Xenopus tropicalis: one gene and its partners. The protein of the gene in region 1 binds, or shares a complex with, the protein of each later gene. Links are inferred from orthologs where the notes say so. Each region holds a gene or a part of one and is shown in the gene's direction. Other genes may lie near its edges.

The links.
Region 2: the proteins of tnpo3 (region 1) and cirbp are in contact, whole or in part, in a crystal structure (PDB 8CMK), measured with the Homo sapiens proteins. The link is inferred for Xenopus tropicalis from reciprocal best matches to the Homo sapiens genes TNPO3 and CIRBP. Residues at the interface, in NP_036602.1 of Homo sapiens: Arg620, Glu660, Arg661, Cys663, Arg664, Arg667, Phe668, Arg671, Ser698, Cys699, Tyr702, Ser705, Ile706, Asp709, Glu710, Asp747, Asp750, Asp751, Arg754, Arg758; in NP_001271.1 of Homo sapiens: Tyr160, Arg161, Ser163, Tyr164, Asp165, Ser166, Tyr167, Ala168.
Region 3: the proteins of tnpo3 (region 1) and srsf1 are in contact, whole or in part, in a crystal structure (PDB 4C0O), measured with the Homo sapiens proteins. The link is inferred for Xenopus tropicalis from reciprocal best matches to the Homo sapiens genes TNPO3 and SRSF1. Residues at the interface, in NP_036602.1 of Homo sapiens: His155, Arg157, Arg160, Thr167, Tyr254, Ile256, Glu257, Glu304, Glu340, Ile341, Phe343, Asn344, Tyr347, Arg348, Glu351, His352, Lys355, Thr356, Arg620, Asn656, Glu660, Arg661, Arg664, Arg667, Phe668, Arg671, Ser698, Cys699, Tyr702, Ile706; in NP_008855.1 of Homo sapiens: Ser116, Arg117, Arg118, Ser133, Trp134, Gln135, Lys138, Asp139, Arg142, Glu143, Gly145, Asp146, Cys148, Tyr149, Ala150, Asp151, Val152, Tyr153, Arg154, Val172, Arg173, Asp176, Asn177, Arg181, His183, Tyr189, Ile190, Arg191, Arg198, Pro200.
Region 4: the proteins of tnpo3 (region 1) and cpsf6 are in contact, whole or in part, in a crystal structure (PDB 6GX9), measured with the Homo sapiens proteins. The link is inferred for Xenopus tropicalis from reciprocal best matches to the Homo sapiens genes TNPO3 and CPSF6. Residues at the interface, in NP_036602.1 of Homo sapiens: Arg620, Asn656, Arg657, Glu660, Arg661, Arg664, Arg667, Phe668, Arg671, Ser698, Cys699, Tyr702, Ile706, Asp709, Asp747, Asp750, Asp751, Arg754, Arg758, Gln761, Cys793, Arg797; in NP_008938.2 of Homo sapiens: Tyr521, Arg522, Glu523, Arg524, Ser525, Glu527, Arg528.

The regions. Positions count from the first base shown.
Region 1 is NC_030679.2:87,749,093-87,753,204, reverse strand, and holds part of tnpo3 (transportin-3), read left to right. Parts: intron 1-1,267; coding exon 1,268-1,406; intron 1,407-2,094; coding exon 2,095-2,241; intron 2,242-2,535; coding exon 2,536-2,643; intron 2,644-3,267; coding exon 3,268-3,359; intron 3,360-4,112. UniProt on the Homo sapiens protein: Importin, which transports target proteins into the nucleus. Specifically mediates the nuclear import of splicing factor serine/arginine (SR) proteins, such as RBM4, SFRS1 and SFRS2, by recognizing phosphorylated SR domains.
Region 2 is NC_030677.2:99,957,214-99,962,101, reverse strand, and holds the start of cirbp (cold-inducible RNA-binding protein), read left to right. Parts: upstream 1-1,688; 5' UTR 1,689-1,743; intron 1,744-2,296; 5' UTR 2,297-2,304; coding exon 2,305-2,407; intron 2,408-2,509; coding exon 2,510-2,616; intron 2,617-3,089; coding exon 3,090-3,210; intron 3,211-3,839; coding exon 3,840-3,933; intron 3,934-4,017; coding exon 4,018-4,079; intron 4,080-4,332; coding exon 4,333-4,346; 3' UTR 4,347-4,888. UniProt on the Homo sapiens protein: Cold-inducible mRNA binding protein that plays a protective role in the genotoxic stress response by stabilizing transcripts of genes involved in cell survival. Acts as a translational activator.
Region 3 is NC_030678.2:76,103,359-76,108,161, forward strand, and holds the start of srsf1 (serine/arginine-rich splicing factor 1), read left to right. Parts: upstream 1-1,724; 5' UTR 1,725-1,978; coding exon 1,979-2,172; intron 2,173-3,153; coding exon 3,154-3,395; intron 3,396-4,222; coding exon 4,223-4,395; intron 4,396-4,646; coding exon 4,647-4,803. UniProt on the Homo sapiens protein: Plays a role in preventing exon skipping, ensuring the accuracy of splicing and regulating alternative splicing.
Region 4 is NC_030679.2:58,921,611-58,926,366, reverse strand, and holds the start of cpsf6 (cleavage and polyadenylation specificity factor subunit 6), read left to right. Parts: upstream 1-1,579; 5' UTR 1,580-1,697; coding exon 1,698-1,757; intron 1,758-4,326; coding exon 4,327-4,536; intron 4,537-4,756. UniProt on the Homo sapiens protein: Component of the cleavage factor Im (CFIm) complex that functions as an activator of the pre-mRNA 3'-end cleavage and polyadenylation processing required for the maturation of pre-mRNA into functional mRNAs.

The DNA.
Region 1 (4,112 bases):
CTCGGCGAGGCAACCGATATCGCAAAAGACTGCAGATAATGGTCAACTCGCTGATTGGGCGGATTAAAAGATTTTGATTGGGCACCATTGAAGGCGCTTGAGCAAAATCTACCTTCAGGGCTCAATCGGCAGAAGGAGGTAGAAATCCTATTGTTTCTATGTCCATGTGGATGTGGGAGATCATGTGGCTTCTACATCACATTATTTCATTTTGGTTATGGGAAAATCTGTTTTTACTACAGATTACACAGTACTGTAGGATCTTCTGCCTGGGATGACCTTCTTTTATGATTTTACTACTGCAGTTGTATTCTCACTGTACTTTATCATCTGTATTTAAGAAGCATTTTGCCTAGTTAGCAAGCATTAAACTGTGGAGCAATGTAAAAATGTAAAAAATGTAACATGTTATCCAGAATGCTCAGGACCTGGAGTTTTCCGGATAAGGGATCTTTCCTTAATTTGGATCCCCATACCTTAAGTCTACACAAATTAATTTAAAGGTTAATTAAAGCCAATAGAATCTTTTTTTTTTTTTTTTTATTTTAGTTTGAATCAAGTACAAGGTACTGTTTTATTTTTACAGAGAAACTAAAATAATTTTAAATAATTTGTTTTAAATGGACTGTATGGGAGATGAGCTTCCCCTTAGTTGGAGCTTTCTGGATAATTGGTTTCCAGATAATGGATCCCCTACCTGTATATGTGAATATACATAGACTGGGAAGACCAAAGTTAAACCCTGCTGCCTTGGTTTTAAAGCTTCATGGAAATCTCCACATAATCATTCTGCTGAGCCAGCCATTTGGAAGTGCTTAGTGCACATTCCTTTCATGACAGCTGACTAGAGTTTCTTGCAGTCTGCACTGCGCTGTTAGTGTGTGTCAGTAAATGCTGTGGTTAAATGGGTTAAAATGTGGTTAAAAATACTAATGCTCTTTCTGGAAATGAATGGTCAGCTTAAACTGCTTTGATGTGTAATGACTATGTATGTATATAGACCGTTATAGAGATCTGATGCAGTAGGTCAGGCAGACTGTTCATGACCATGCATGTTCTAGTGTAAACTGTACAAACGCTTAACCTAATAAATGCATTTGAATTTCTTGACATTGCAACCTGGATCTGCTACCTTCTGTGAAATCATCTAGATTTTCTGCCTCCAGCCAAGCAGGCTGATTACTTGTTGTACTTCCTTTTGTGCACTACCCTCAAACTCTTTGTGTTTTTACAATTTATGTGGCTAATTGCTCTTTGTTTTTATCAGGGTGCTGAATTATTGTCGGATTTTTACTGAACTATGTGAAACCTTCTTAGAGAAGATTGTGACAACACCATGTCGTGATCTGGGAGACTTGAGGACCCTAGAGCTTCTCCTGATTTGTGCGGGACACCCTCAGTATGAGGTGCATTGGTTTTTTTACTTGGAACAAAGAATTCTATTAATATAAAGTTGGTCATCAGGCCTTACTTGAAATAATATGAAGTTTTTTGGACATGCAAACCCAAAGACTGCACCAATAATTTTTAGTCTTTTTTGTCCCCAATTATCTCTTATTATTCTTTGTACTAAGTATGCCAAAGTAGGCAGAACATGGGATCATTTGAAAGAAAGAGAATTTAAATAGAAGTCCAGGAATGCCAGGCTAGTGTTTAAATTGCCACCTTTTAGGTTTAAAAGGAGCGTCCCTGAATCCTTTTTTTCTTTTAAGAATGTGTAGATACAACCGCTTCAGGCATATACGTTGAGGACAAATGAAGGGCTATGGCCAAGGTGCACCCCAGTCTGGTATTAGACTAGGGGTCTGACAGATGTAAGAAAAAAAAAGACAGATAGGTCTGTCTTTTGTTAAGGGCAACCTGTAAAGCTACTTTCTGAGTTTTATACATGGCAGGAAGCACGGTTACCACATGGTCCTGTTTCCCCTGAAATTAAATTGAGAGAGACTTGGTTACATTATTACCTCTCCACTTTCTCCTTGTTTCATTCTAACCACTTTTTGTACTATACTTATTACAGACCTTTCTAGCATAAACTAATTGTACAGTATGTACAAACATAATTTACACCTTTACTCCATCTTTTTTTCACAGGTAGTTGAAATCTCCTTCAATTTTTGGTATAGACTGGGAGAGCACTTGTACAAAATGACTGATGCTGTCATACACGGTATCTTCAAACCCTTTATTCAGAGGCTTCTCCATGCTTTGGCAAGACACTGCCAGCTTGAACCTGACCATGTGAGTTCTGTACTTATCCTTCTGCTCTCTATGAAGTAATGGGGCTTTATAGAATGATTTTCCACATTAAATAATGGAAAGCTAAGTCATTTTATGTTTTAACTGTGCAAATAATGTTCATACAGGGGCTTTGTAAACTTCCCAGTTCCTGCTGATGTAGTTATGAGTAACTCAAATTGCTTTTGTCTCCTTCCCCTTTATCTATTACTTCTTTTATGAAGTCCACACTTTTTTTTGCTGTCTTACTTAAATTGTAAGTGATTTTAACTTTTTATTTTTCCTACTTAACAACAGGAGGGTGTCCCTGAGGAAACAGATGACTTTGGCGAATTCCGTTTGCGAGTATCTGACTTGGTTAAAGATTTAATCTATCTGGTGGGCTCCATGGAATGTTTCTCCCAGGTTTGTGTTCCCTAACTAACCTACTATTACTAATTTTCTCTTGGAGGGGTGGAGTGATGGGTAGTTTTAAATTAAAAAATATTATGACACAGAAATGAATGCCAGCTTTGAAAAAATTAAGATCTATACTGGTCTGCATAGCAGCTCCTAAGTGGGGATATTGAAAATGCACAATGTAGCTTCCAGCAAAACACTTCAATATATGTATTATTTCTATGAGCTCTAATGGGTTTACCTTTGGAAGGTGCTTATATTTTAGGCAATGCCATATGGGGCTAATTGTCTGATTCTTAGCAGAAGGCTGATGCTAGTGGAGGTGCTGCTTCCCGGCCTACATTTATCCACACTTTTATCGCACTGCATCTTGTGGACAGCTGCACCAGAGTACAACAGAAGGGATATCTGGGAGGGTTTACTTCGACTTCTTAATACTACTGTTGTCTTAATACAAATCAAATAAGACAAGTTTGGGAGATTTTCAATGGCCCTTTAATAGTCCATATAGTCATAAATAGTCATTATGCCAGTTACCGATATTGCTTAAGCATTTGAAAGTACTTCTGAACAGTGAATTAGATCTGTGCTTGTGGCTTTTGCCTGATGGTTCCCTGTCTCTCCTCGCAGCTCTATTCTACTCTAAAAGATGGAAATCCACCTTGGGAAGTGACAGAAGCTGTGCTGTTTATTATGGCAGCCATTGCTAAGAGTATTGATCCGTAAGTGGCATTTCTATCCACAGTGTGTTCCAACTGAGGACATGCAATTTCTATGCACTAGACAGTCCTTTTCTCTAAGTTTGTGTGACCTGTCACGTAACCGCTGAACTATTGCTGTTCATAGATGTGCCCCTACATAATCACCTTATTTACAGTTGACCAGAGCAGCTCTATCAGGATAGATTTATGACAAACTGACTTGTTGAAACCGTTGCATCCTATGATGTTGAAAGCCACTGAGATCATCAGTACTGCCTATTCTTTTGCCACTGTATGTTGCTGGGTGTGGCTTATATAGCCAGTTTCTCTAATTAGATGGAGTGTTGGGATACTTTAAACTCCCTTTCTTTGAACGTAAAATAAAAATTCATCGATTTGTTAAGGATTTTTATACTCTGTGTCAGTTCCATATTTCACAAATCCACCCCCTTGCTTTTATTTGTATTGTTCCCTGCATGTCTTTAACTCCTTTCTCCACCTTACAACTTGGGCCCTTCTCTTTCATTTCCAAAAGTGTTTTCTTGTATTAGAATTTACCATTATTGTAATTTAGTTTGCACCTGTAACAGTAAAGTCATTTTTTTATAACAGTTGATACAAGAAAAATTCAATGACAGTAAACCACTTTATGATTTATTAAAGTGGTTTATTGTAATTGAATTATTTTTGTATCAATTGGTTTAAAAAAGATTGTTTTTTTTATTTTTGGGTTTATGTATTTTAACTGGCTTAAAGGAAAAGTAACACTAAAAA
Region 2 (4,888 bases), on another chromosome or scaffold:
AAACAAGGCTCTTACAATTGTTTTTGACAGGTATTTGTGCTTTGTACAGGTTGGGTATACAAAATGTGAATACGTTGTGATATTTGGCCACATGTTTGGCAATATATGAGTATTTAACCTCCTAAATCTTTGGGACTATTGCCCAGATTTTTAAGAGCTGTGAGAACATGTAGTCCCAAATCAGACTTTGCCCCTATACATCCACAGTTTAGGGATCATCCATTGAACCAATTTTCTGTTTTAGCCTGATGCAATTTTACCATTTGTTAAGCCAAATCACTAAGTAGCAAGCAAATCACACTACACAGAAAATATTTTATATGTTGCCAGTTTAATGTCATGAAAGTGTAGCTGCACTTTATAATTGTATGTGTGTGTGTGTGTGTAAAAATGTTTCTTCTGTCCCTGACCTGGAAGCAACAAAGACCACAATAGTGACAGGGGCATATGAGGAAGGAATATATTTAAACCAGTGAAAACTGGGTTTAATCTTTTTATTACCACGTTTGGGGGCAGGGTGGCTCTGTGACTGAAAACTTTGTGTACAAGATTATAAAACAGTAGTAGTGCAATACTTGAAAAATATAGTGCGTAATAATCAATGATAGTAGTATATACATAGGGTTTATAAAAGTTTACATGCACAATAACTTTAAAAGGCTGCATACCCCAAGTTTGGGATTAGATATATCCTCACCTATTAAAACGATGTTAAATATAAGTATTTTAAGCATAACCATAATACGTTCAATAACGATAATTATCACCTCTTTTTTTATCAGAATGTACTGTAGGAAAGCAGGGGTGGAAGGGAGATTTGCAAAACGAAATCTAACAGGCATTTTGATGAAAGTCGAGCACCGGGATTGCTATTTTTTTTCCTTTATAAACACCTTTAACTTATGTTCTTGCAATTAAACATAAAAACTATTCGTAAAGACGCCATTCGTTCTGTTATAGGTATAAAGAACGGAGCACCGTTTGCAACAGGGTAATGCATACAGTAACAATCAACTTTCCAGCAACCCTTTTCTGAACCTCCGGCGCCTTTGATTCCGGCGCCATTAGCTCGGCATTGGAATTGCCAAACGCCACTCCTAAACGCTTTAAGAAAATGTCAAGATTGGTTTCGAATAATAACTAAACATTAATGTTACCCGGTATAGCGTTAAAATAATATCATTAATTAGGATATCCGAACACCATTTTAAACAAAAAAAACCCACGATTCATAGCCGAGTTTTAACATGTGCCACCCAGCCCTAAAATGGCGCCTAAGCTCTCTCCTTGTTCTTTGTTCAAACGCGCAACGCAGTAACAAAGAGATCCTCCCAGCGACAATATTCAGCCAATACCAGCAAATAAATCCCAAGAAGCGGTCAGGCGACTGGATCGTCAATTCTAATATGACTCCTCCTCTGAGAAGCGTCCATTGGTATGAAATTATTGTACACTATGGTTATAGTTTAAGAAAATGAACAAAAATAAACACATCATGTGGTAATAGTTTTTAACTAACCACTGCAATACAAATAGTGAACTCTTTATTCATCCGCATTGCTCTGAATGATCTTTTTTCAATATCGCGCTATCAACCAAATGGTGTCGCCCGAACTGGAACTAAATAAATTATTCATGATGTGGGCGGGGTTATTCCTGGTATAAATGACCAAGTTCCGGCGTGAATTGCGCACTTCGCATTCGGCTTCCAACTTGTGTTGTATCGTCCGAAGATCATAGAACGTAAGTGGGGTTTTTCCTTTTTCTTCTGGTTTCAGCGTGTGAATTGTGGAGGTTAGCTCATGTGTCAATTGTTGCCCAATACATTGTAGGTATTCTGTATACGTGGTCACATTTAGTAGTTTAAAACTCCTCGTTCTACAACGCCTCAAATACCGTGTCATACTCGCGCCTTCGCGGCAAAACTGGCACGAATCTACATGTGGCTTAAATTAATTTATTGGAAGGTTCTTATTTAATTTATTGGAAGGCTCTTACTTTCTTCGTAGTGCTAGTCGAAGAGCTGTATATGAGCACAATTCATTATTTGGCGCGTAGTTTTTTTTTTTGTTTAATAAAACAATGAAACTGTCGACTGAAGAGTCGATGTAAAAATCCTAGCGATTGTGCGTGTAGATGGCGAAATAAATCCCTCACACGTTACCGTAAGTGACGTCATCCATGGGCTGAATTCCCGCCTTCTATTGTGCTACTGCGGCAAGGCTCGGATCTCTACCACGTGGTGGCGGCCATATTGGAAAGCGCTTCATGTGGCTTTGTCGTCTTTCTTTATTAGGTCTCACCATGTCTTGTGATGAAGGAAAACTCTTTGTCGGTGGTCTGAATTTTGAAACCACAGAGGAAAGCTTGGAGCAAGTGTTTAGCAAATATGGACAGGTTGCTGAAGGTATGTGTGGGCCTTTTTTTATTTTTTAAAATTAGTTCTTAAGCAGTTTTTTTTTCTTTTTTTTTTTTTTCTTCCTCCTTCTAAAGCAATGTGTATTTTCAGTGGTTGTGGTGAAGGATCGGGAAAGCAAGAGATCCAGAGGCTTTGGCTTTGTCACATTTGAGAATCCTGAAGATGCCAAGGATGCTATGATGGCAATGAATGGGAAGGTAAATGCACACATAGTAACAAATCCTTTTAGGTGTAAAGAGCAAATCTGATTCACTGTCTTTAGTTTATAACTGCCAGGTGGTTGGTGTTTATTGCTGGGATATGTAACACACTTTGTAGTGGCATATTGTCCTTGGTATTTGCATTCTACCACTAGATGCTCACTGTATTAATTAATAATGCTATGAAGGCACTAGGTAACCGCCTTGCATTTTGCAACCTCTAGGTAAACTGCCTTTCTTGAACTGTGAAGGCCCTTTAATTTACTTATTAATTTCAATTACTGTTTTGGCTTAGAATAACATGTTCTAAAAAGGTGTATAGTTATAAATCATGACTAAACAAAGCACAAAGACAAGTGTAATTCAGTGAACAGTACACTGACTTAAATGGCTAAAAATGTCCATTAAACATTAAATCTGACAATATGGCTTCTTTATAACTTTTTTAAATTCTTTTTTTTTATATATAGTCTGTAGATGGCCGTCAAATCCGTGTTGATCAGGCTGGCAAGTCCTCCAATGATAGGAGAGGTGGTTACAGAGGTGGCTCTTCTGGAGGCAGAGGGTTCTTCCGTGGAGGCAGAGGCCGAGGTTGGTATACATACTTTAGTGACATTGCAATATAGACTTGGAATATAAATGTTCTGGTAAACTTTTCCATAATACAAAGGGAAGAGTTAGCTCCCAGTAGATCTCAGAATAACAATTAATAAGAAGAAAGTCTAGCTTTGCACTAGTTACATGGGAGTAGGGGAAACAGGTTACTTGAAAGCAGCTCTAGTGTAGTGCTGGCTCCTGAAAGCTCAGAATCGGGCACAATGCACAGAGATGGCTGCCTACACACTAATAGTACAACTTTTATTTTTCCTTGAGTGAATTTTAGATGGTGGTTCATTTGCTATGTAGACAGTAATTTAGAAATAAGGTATACCATAAGAATCATGACTATATTGGTTAACCTTTCCCGGTAGACAAATTGCAGACGGACATTCCCGTCCCTACCCATTTGAATTAACTATAAGGATACTTTTTGTAGCGGCTTTTAAAGGGTATGTCAACCCTCATAAAAGGCATTATTGCCTGATAGAGAACCATAATTTGTTATTTTTGGTTAGGTTAACATGCCCTATAACCTGGGCTTTTATCTCTTTCCTGCACTAGAGTTGGGACAGGTTAACATTCGTGTAGTTTTATAAAACACAAGAACTTTTTTTGTGCAGGTGGTGGTGGAGACAGAGGATATGGTGGAAGCAGCCGCTTTGAAAACAGAAGTGGAGGTTACCAAAGCAGTGGATCCAGGGATTACTATGGCAGGTAAGTTTTGTGAATGCTCTGTAAGACTTCATTCTATTTTGATATTTGTTCTCCTGACAATGGCCTGTGTCTCTCTTGTGGCAGGAGTCATGGAAGCTATGGTGATCGTTCCGGAGGATCCTACAGGGATAGTTATGACAGCTATAGTAAGTATGTGGGGAAGTTACTAGAGAGGAGGGTGGAAAGGGTGGTACGTCAGTTGTGATCTTCGTGTTCCATCCAGTGATGGCTCTTAACTTCTCAATTTCTCAATTTGCCTCTAATGCATGTGTTGGTTCTGTCCTGGCTACAGGCAATAAGTGTTGGGTAGACATAGCTGGGAAGGGTATGTAGTACCAGTTTAGGGGAGGTGATGCTGGAATCTGTGCCTTTACAACTGTGCCTGCTTCTTGTCCTCAGCTACACAAGAGTAAAATCCATTCCTGACTCAAGATCGTCCTTCCAATGGCTGTATTTATAAAGATTTTTGGAGCTTCGCCGAATCGTTTGTGTAGTATATCTACTTGTGTTCACTTTTTTTTTTAATAGACCTAGTTAGCCTGACAGCTTCTCTAATAAGTGGGACAGCTGTGTTTCAAAGGCTTTATCTTTGGACACCTAATCTCATTCTTAAAGTTACTGTGTTCTGCAAGGATATTCCTATCCTACTATGCTGTTCCATTCAAGCTGATCAGGTGGGGCTGCTCCCCCTTCTGGTTAAGTAGTGCTAGGAAGTAACTTCCTAAGCGGATGGGTGCTGTTGGTTGATGGGCAGAGAAGCACCTGTATTAGTAGCAGACTGCTAGGCCTGTCTTCCTGTAGCATTGTTTAAAGAACTTTAAGCTGCTGTATTTTTTGGTTACATGAAAAGTTAATTTTATGAGTCCACTTAAATTGCATTCCTTTAGTGTAACAAGGCAAGGCAGAGCTTGGGTGCGCTGTATATAGTGGCTACACCTCCTTGATACACAAAGTG
Region 3 (4,803 bases), on another chromosome or scaffold:
AGAAAGTTGCCATTTTAAGAATTAAGGGCCGCCTCCTGTGATCATAGGATTCACAGTGCACACAAACAAGTCAAGGAAAATATGCATGCTGGGCCCCATCAGCCAATTAATGAACAAAGTTCTGCCTTCTTCCTGTTACAGTTAGAGCTGCATTATTTCTGGTCATGTGATCTCTGAGGGCGCACACAGCCCATCACTAAATTGTGGATCAAGGAAAAGGATTTAAAAGGGCAATATTTACTGATATATATATATATATATATATATATATATATATTCCAGTTTGGCGAGATTCTTTAATAGGTCACTCTGCATAATATAAACTATCTGTTGGTTAAGTATTCATTCTGGGGGTATAGTTTTTCTTTAAAGAGATGAAATTCTGAGCGCTATTTCTCTCTCTACAATACCGATGTGGGGGGAAGCATCAACTTGCACACCTATTCATGACAGTACCCCTTGCCCCCTTTGTTCCACTGTCGGAAGTGACCTCTCAAAAGCTATATTAAATTTGTTCAAAGAAATTTTTGTTTGCTAAAAGGCATACATTTTCGAGTATTTTTCTGTTATGGATTTTTTTTACATTCCAGCATCAGTTTCTTAAATACTTTTGCACTTTTTGAAGTGCTTTTCCACTTCAGCCCAGGGTTGCACTCCCTACTCTGTAAAGCGCTGGGCAATATATAAATGTACGTATAACTTTATTTATAAAGCGTTAGAAGGGTACACAGCGCTATACAATCTTACAATATACACAATTACACACAGGGAGGACAACTGTTATAATAAATACAAGAAGTATAAATACACAGATTGAGCGCCATGTGGTGTGAGAGAGTAGGAAGGAGGTCCCTGCCCCATAGAGCTTACAATTTCACTGCCCAATCTAAGCTCGACTAAAATAAAACAAACAAATATGCACAAGGCCCAAACAGGAGTGTAATGTAAGGCATGTATTTATTATCAACACATAAATATTTGTAGAGTGTAAGCTCTTTTGGGCAGGGCCCTCTTCACCTCTTGTATCGGTTATTGATTGCTTTATATGCTACTCTGTATGTCCAATGTATAAAACCCTTTTATTGTACAGCGCTGCAGAATATGTTGGCGCTTTATAAATAAATGTTAATAATAATAAATAGGACAAAGTCTTCCCAACCTTGTTTGCAATATTACCCTGACAGCAGTTACAAAGTATTGAATTGCAGTGCTACTTTAATGGGGAAACCATTGAGAGTGGACCACAGAGACCTTATCCGCACACCCTAACACTCCAAAAAAAATTTTGTACGGTGCACACTGCTAGAGGGATCGGCACCCTCCAAATACACTGTAACAACAAAAAAAGCAATTGGCACTCAGGACTACAAACAAGGGTAAAACCCTTTTAAAAGTTTTATTGCGGAAACCATTGAGAGCACACCTGTAGTTAATGATTTTCATACTCATAATGAATGTCACTGCAGATAAAGAGCTAACAGCCTCCGACCATGGTTCTATAATACAAAACCACCTAACAACAGCCATGGCGCACGACGAGTAACAAAACATTTTTCAAACAACACCCACTGCCCTCCCCCACTATGGGCGCGCATTTCCTGGACGGACGTGACGTCAAGCACAGGGTATAGAAAGCCCCCCTATCACATACAGAGAAGCAGCTTGAGCTCAGGTTTCTAGTATAAATATTACCTCAGTGAATAGATTCTTTCTTAGGGCCGTAATTGGCACATAGCTTTAGGAACATTGCATCGTGAAGACGTGGAAACGAGAGGCTCTATATTGTCTCGGCGTAAGATTACCTTTGTTGAGGACGCACCACTGCGAGTTCTTAGTATCCTTGCGCGGCTAAAGCAAGGGAGGAAGTAACTCCGCCATCTTGTCCAAGCTCTGAAGCGCGCATCGAAGGTCTGTTTGGCTTCCAACTCCATTTCTTTTTCTTCTCAATCCGTCTCCCTTTAAATCCATCAAGCTGGATATGTCAGGGGGCGGCGTGATTAGGGGGCCGGCGGGTAACAACGATTGCCGTATCTATGTTGGCAATCTGCCGCCAGACATCCGCACCAAGGACATTGAGGACGTTTTCTACAAGTATGGGGCCATTCGGGACATAGACCTAAAGAACCGCAGAGGGGGCCCGCCATTCGCCTTTGTGGAATTCGAAGATCCAAGGTAATCCCTGTGTAAATGTTTTTGCTTTGGCCTATCGTGCTAATGGGCTCGCCTAGTGTTAACTGGTGAATAACTACAATATACCTTGAGTGTATCCGGGGGCGGGGTGGTGGTACTGCGACTTTATTTCTGCTGTAGTTGATAAAATGTCGTCCGCTGTTGTATTAGAGTTTATATATAGTCGAGGAGGCCAGTGAGGGGGGGAATTAGGCCTGATTATGGTGCAGGTTATGTTTCAACATCGGTGCGTTGTATCATTATTCAAGTTAATATATTTAGCCTATAATCCCTACAGAGTGGCGCCAGAATGAGGTATTATACACTCATTGTGTATCGCCATTAGCACGTGTAAATCCCTATTTATTACCGCCTTTAGGCAACAGCGCCCCCTGTGTGTGGGACCGAATAGCGCTTCCGCTCTTTGTTCTGCAGCCCTGCACCATGCTTACTAGTGTGTTAAGGGAAGGCATTCTAACAAGCAAATGTGCTTTGGGTTATTTATTGACCTGTTTGCTTTAAAGCCGCTGCCTCATGTCTCTGCTATAAAGCATGCAATTAGGCTCACTGCACTTATTCAACCAGAACTCCTAACACCTTTTATGTAGGCTGCTTGGAGAAGTGCAGTATTGATATTCAATAGCAACACTACAAAATGAATAATGGGTGTTTAAGCATCTGCACTATATGCACATATGTAAAGTATTGGTGAAAATGTACTGTTTAAATGTAAATACAAAAGCTTTTGTGTAGTCATGGGGGCAGCCATTCATGTCTAAAAGACTGTTAAGATACAATGGCTTGCTTACACAGAATTAATCTGGGGTCATGTGTCGTTTGTAGCTCTATACATGACTGTAATAAAGTTTTCTCATTTACAGCCAAGAAAGTTTTCCAGGATATGTAATTACCATTGTAGGTGAATATTCTCTTCTTAACCTGGCATTCTTTAACTAAAGCAATTCTTACCTTGGTTTCTCTTAGGGATGCAGAAGATGCTGTCTATGGTAGAGATGGCTATGATTATGATGGCTATCGCTTGCGTGTTGAGTTTCCAAGAAGTGGGCGAGGAGCTGGAGGCAGAGGTGGTGGTGGTGGTGGCGGCGGCGGAGGAGGAGGTGGTGGAGGCGGCGGCGGCGGTGGTGGTGGTGGCGGCGGAGGAGGAGCTCCCCGAGGGAGATATGGACCTCCATCAAGACGTTCAGAATACAGAGTGGTTGTGTCAGGTAAGAGTTCTATCAGGTGGCAGGTTTAAAAACCAAAGTAAAAACATCAGTTGCAAAGTTTTAGAGGAATAATGCCCATCAGGTTTTTACAAGCAGCGTTATTTCACATGTATACAATAATGAGTTGGACACAGTTATGCATACATTCTAAAGTATTATGCATTCTATACCAGTGGATATGACTGACCATTAATGTATACAAACAGAACTACTAGTATATCTCCCTTTAACTTTAGTTCAGTTAACGGCTTGCATCAGCTTAACAGAACTTAAGCAACTCTCTGCTTGGTCCTTGCAAGGTAGATAATTGTATTACAGTTCACACACAATTCTCCTGCATAATGGACTTCAAACCATGCAGTCACAAGAAAAGGGAAGGATAGGGTATTGTCTTCAAACAAGATATTAAATGGCCCTGTCTGGTTGCTCAGGATGCTATCTGGACTATGAAAACTTGCACATGTTGCTATGTTACCTTCAGTTCAAACATGAAGCACTGCAACAAATTTACCTTTAAAACGTACTAAATGTAAACCCCTGAGTTATTTTAGCAGAATTGGGCTGTTGTGAGTCTCGCTGGAAGCATGGTTCAGATTAAAACAATGGGTTTTCCCCAGGATGCTGTGTTCATTTAAGCAATACAGCTGTCTTTGGACTGTTTTAATGCTCCATGCATTGCTGTATAACCAGCATAGATACCTACTCTTGGAATTTTGGCACTAGAAGTTCATAAACCATTTTAAATTTCCACCATTTGCATGCTTTTAATTATGTATAAAACTGCTTTTGATACCAAATTTGACACTCTGATAACTTTATATTTCTAGGGTTGCCTCCAAGTGGCAGCTGGCAGGATTTAAAGGATCACATGCGTGAAGCAGGTGATGTATGTTATGCCGATGTGTTCCGAGATGGTACTGGAGTTGTGGAGTTTGTGAGGAAAGAAGATATGACATATGCAGTACGGAAGCTGGATAACACTAAATTTAGGTCTCATGAGGTAAATACTAAATTGTTTAGTAGTTTGTGTTAAGTTTTTCTCTACCTATTGTGACTAGCAGTATCTGTTTTACATGACCTCTGAAGCCAATAGTGATGTTGGCCAAATACATAAGGTGCCAAAAGATATGGGAATTTTAAATTTTCTGTATAATGTACTATAGTTGCTTGACTTTTATCGTTCTTTGATGTGCCTAAGTTCATAAGATATTGAAGATTGGCTTGTTCAAATCCAGCTTCTCTCATTGATAGGGAGAGACTGCCTACATTCGTGTTAAGGTAGATGGTCCAAGAAGTCCCAGCTATGGAAGATCGCGGTCACGCAGCCGCAGTCGTAGCAGGAGCCGTAGTAGAAGCAACAGTCGCAGCCGAAGTTACTCTCCAAGAAGAAGCCGTGGTTCTCCACGCT
Region 4 (4,756 bases), about 29 Mb from region 1:
GACACATCTGATTGGCTGTTGGTGGCTCCTTTCACTTTTTCTAATCTTGAATATTAATCCCACGGTTTTTAACTGTACAAGGGGACACTTGTACGGATAGTATAAGAATAGCAGCATTTTAAATTTAAACAAAGAAGATTCCCATAATGCCTCGCTCCTGCACCAAGACCAAGACCGGTGTACATATGCAGTGTGTAAGACTATGAGGAAGCTTTCTGCTGATTGGCTCAGATCACACATTCCTAAGGGGGGGAGGGAGTTCTTAGCATTCTTGAGGGAGGGGGGAGCAGGAGAGGGGAGAGAGGAGAGAGCTGCGTGTCTGTGGCACAGGAAATCAAAGAGACAAGAAATCCTGTATCTTTTTATAGAGGACTCAGTGCAGCGTTTCCGTGAGTGCTTATGGCTGTATTTACATAGACCTACCTGATAAAGCTTACTTAGTTTTTACCTTTTCTTCTCTTTTAATTTATTATTACAGAAACAAACAAATAAATGAATTAGTATTTTATTATTAGGATTGAATTTACTCATTGGGCAGAATATAGTTAGGGTTGCCTTCCATGTGGTTTTGAACAGTTTTTGAGAGGGCTGTCTAGTTCAAAAGGTCTTTCTAGAAATCCAATTGCATCTAAGTGATGCCATAACCTTGCTTTGGTGTCATAATCCCACTGACATAATTTTGCCCACTTCTGATGTCATCATGCCCATGTCCAACATCACTGCCCCACCCCCTTTGTTGCAGTTTAGCCTCTGACAAAGGTGGCAACCTTAGTAGGCATTGTCTGTATAGACACCATTTGCTGTATCTGTCCATTTGTTTTAAAGTTGGCAATGAAATGGATGAGCCCCCACCCCCCTGACCTCCAGCAATGGAAACAACTTGTTAACACTAGACTCCCACTTATTAAACTAACATACCTTGCCAGGGGTTGCCCTAGCAAATTCTAGAGAATATGGCGTCTATACAGACAATGCCTACTAAGGTTGCCACCTTTGTCAGAGGCTAAACCTCAACAAAGGGGGCGGGGCAGTGATGTTTGACATGGGCATGATGACATCAGAAGTGGGCACAATTATGTCAGTGGGATTATGACACCAAAGCAAGGTTATGGCATCACTTAGATGCAACTGGATTTCTAGAGAGACCTTTTGAACTAGACAATCCTCTCAAAAACTGTAAGAAGCTCAACCAGAAGCGAGTCCCACAGTATAACCCTGAGACTTTTACACCAAAGGTCTCCCCCAAATCACAGGCCTTATCCAAACTACTTAGGCCACACCGACTGTATCTAGCTGACCCTGCTACTGTATACTTTCTCCATGGTCATAGCACTAATTATTGTATATGCTATTGTGCTGGTTTTATGTTTCTGTTTGTAAAGAAAATAATAAAAACCTTTAAAAAATGTTTTTCATATATCTTCATAACACGGTGTTCTGACGAGAATATGAATTTGACTTGGGGCAAGTTTCTATTCACCTTCAGCCATATCTTTCTAATGCTGCTGCTCATTGTTCGCGTTCCAACGAGTTTGTACAATACAAATTATACTATGTGAAAAAAAACGCGCGCAACTAGCTGGTTCAGTATCCAGTAGAGGAAGTGACGCGCCCGTTCCCGCCTTCCCCCTCCCGACCCACTCCTCCCAGCTCGCACCGCCTCCGTGACTGCCTAGCGCTGCCGCTCCAGGCGGAAGATGGCGGACGGAGTGGATCATATCGATATCTACGCAGATGTGGGCGAGGAATTTAATCAGGTATCGCGAGTGGGAAATATGGGTGCAGCAAGTGGTTGTCATGCTGGTGCGAGTCGTCTGTGTGTGCTTGGGCCGCCTCCCGACTTCTCGCAGATAAAAGAAGCGCCTGTTTGTTTTGTTATTATTTGTAGGCCTATGTATGCTATCAAGTCTTTAAAGCATTTCTTTTACCCTGGAGATTCGCAAAATTTGTACAGAGGCGGGCAAGCCGAACCCGGCCACACAGCCTTCTGCACTTTCTTTGTGTAGGCCGCGTGTGCCGGGGCCTTGAGTTCCACGGAACTTCAGTCTAGTGCCATTGCCCAGAGCCCTGCTGGATTAGTTATGTGTGGGTTACGGGGGCTCTAGACTAAAACAGTAGTTGTTGGGATTTTCTTTTTCTTAGAGACTGTGGGAAGACGAGCTTTTACGGACTACAACAATTGTTCACCCCTTCAAATACCACTCTATTTTAAAAAATTGTTCTAAGCTACTAGGGTTGTTTGGAAAGACTAATGAAAAACCTTCACAACTGTTATCATAATTGCTTCCCCCCCCCCCCCCAAATAAATCTACTTATCCATTGGTCGAAATAGAGAATATAATAGGCTGTAACATACATGGGGCCCTGGAGCATCTCGCCGGCAGCTGCTAGGTACCACTGTCTTTATTTTGGGGGGTACAAGAAAATAGGTACCATACATAATGTAATAAAATGCATCTGCTGTCATTTTCCAAACTATTCTTTATAGAAAAATGTACACTTTTCTAATATCATAAAACGGTGTACTTTTCCTATCTGTCTTGAATTGAGAGAGACAGCACAGCAATCATTTACTTGTAAATGTAGAACTATACAGTTGCAGTTTCACATAATGGATAAAAAATTAAATGCCAATGGTTGAAGGGAAAAAAAACTGAAAATGTGGTTTGTTCAACCTTTAATAACAGGTTTATACTGGTATCTTTAATATCCTTCAGCTATAAATACACCATCTCTAGATTAGCAAATGAATGCAGGATGTCAATATCTGGTATAGGCAGTAGTGGCCCCATTGCTGATATACGTCAGACTTTCTCCATATTTAAATTAGAAGTGAATTTCAGCTAATTGACTATTTAAAGCACAAAAAAGTATTGGCAAATCCATTACTATTTATATTAGATCTAATGCTTTTATTTTTCATGGAAATTTACCCTAGTTATGTTCTATATTATTCATTAAAACACATTTTCTGTACCACAGGGATAAAATCAACATTTGTTTCTTTTTTAGAGCAGCAAGGTATTGAAAGATTCTTGTTATACAGGGGGGGGGGGCTGGTGGAGGAAATAATCAAATATCAATTTCTTAAATTAAAATGTGTTCCCCTTTTTTTTGGTTGAGGACTGAAACAATATTCAGATGCTTGTAAAATAAGCTGTCAGAAATAATGTAGCTGTTGTTTTCTTATCTTTGTAGACTTCCAAACCTCCTTGGATTTTTGCAATGTTGGGGTGTTAGTGCAGAGGCATATACAGAACTGTGTTACACATGGAACTGCCTCTTGTGACTGTCAAAGCATCAGAAAATATTTTAAATGCTGTAGAACAGGGGTCCCCAACCTTTTTTACCCGTGAGCCACATTCAAATGTAAAATGTCAGGGAGCAACACAAGCATAAAAAGGTTTCTGGGGGTGCCAAATATGGGCAGTAAATGGCTAATCTGGTAGCCTCTAAAGCTGGCCATACATGCACCGATAATATCGTACGAAACCTCGTTTTGTACGATATTCGGTGCGTGTATGGTAAGTCAGCGAGTCGACCGATATCGCAGGAGGCTGCTGATATTGGTCGACGCGCCGATCGGCCAGGTTAAAAGATTTTGATCGAGCGCCATAGAAGGCGCCTGAGCAAAATCTGCCTTCAGGGCTGAATCGGCAGCCTTATTTGCTGTTTCAGCCCTGAACGGTTAATGGCTGATTGAACAGCATTACATTATATAGTAATTACTTTTATACACTTTCATTTTTTGGTGTTACTGTCCCTTTAAAGTTCCGATGATAAGGCACCCAATCAAAATTTTCAGTCCTGCGCGATTGACAAGGCAACCAATATCTTAAGGCATTTACTGATATTGGTTGCTGTGTCTCCCACCATGCATGTGCCGATTATTATACAACAAAGTTTCCTTTACACTTTAGTTGTTGAGGGGGGATTTTATGTTTTTGTCCCCATTGCTATAGTCACAAATATCCAAAGGTGCAAATTATGGAGATCACTCGCATTGCCAATGTCCTTTTTTTCAGGCAAAAAACCAAATGTTCCATTAAGAATTGTTGTGTTTATCTGAACAACACAGCAAAACATCTTTGCTTGTAAGTGCATTCCTAGTCCATACATATTTATCTAAAACCAGTAATTGATTTGCCTTTGAAAGAATCATTAGGTGAACAATGTATTCTTTAAAAATTGACATGTATAATAAAGTGGAGAATGCATCAATATGTTAAAATTTGTAAATTAATAATAATAATTAAGGCCCTGATCCAGGCAACAGGCAGCTGCTTGAAGAGGTATGAACATTCATATTTTTTGTTTGTATTAAAGGAAGCAGAATATGGTGCACATGAGCAAATTGAACTCTATGAGGATGTCATCTCACCATCTGCAAACAATGGAGATGCTCCTGAGGACCGCGACTATATGGATAATCTAGCAACTTCTGTTGGAGATGATGTAGTGAAAGGATCTGTTCCTAATATTGTGTATACCTATACTGGTAAACGAATAGCACTCTACATTGGAAATCTAACATGGGTAAGTAAAGGCATAACAATAACATTTTTCTGCTCCTATTGTGTAGTTTATGTTGATTTCATGCTGCACAAGGTGTTTTGACCACTGCACAAGAAAACAACCACCACTAAAAATATGCTGTCTGCATTTATTTTATTCCTGTGAAAGGCATATATCTGCCTTTATCTACACTTCAACAGTGTGTCCTATATCTTTGTTGAATCTGATTGACAGTTTCATA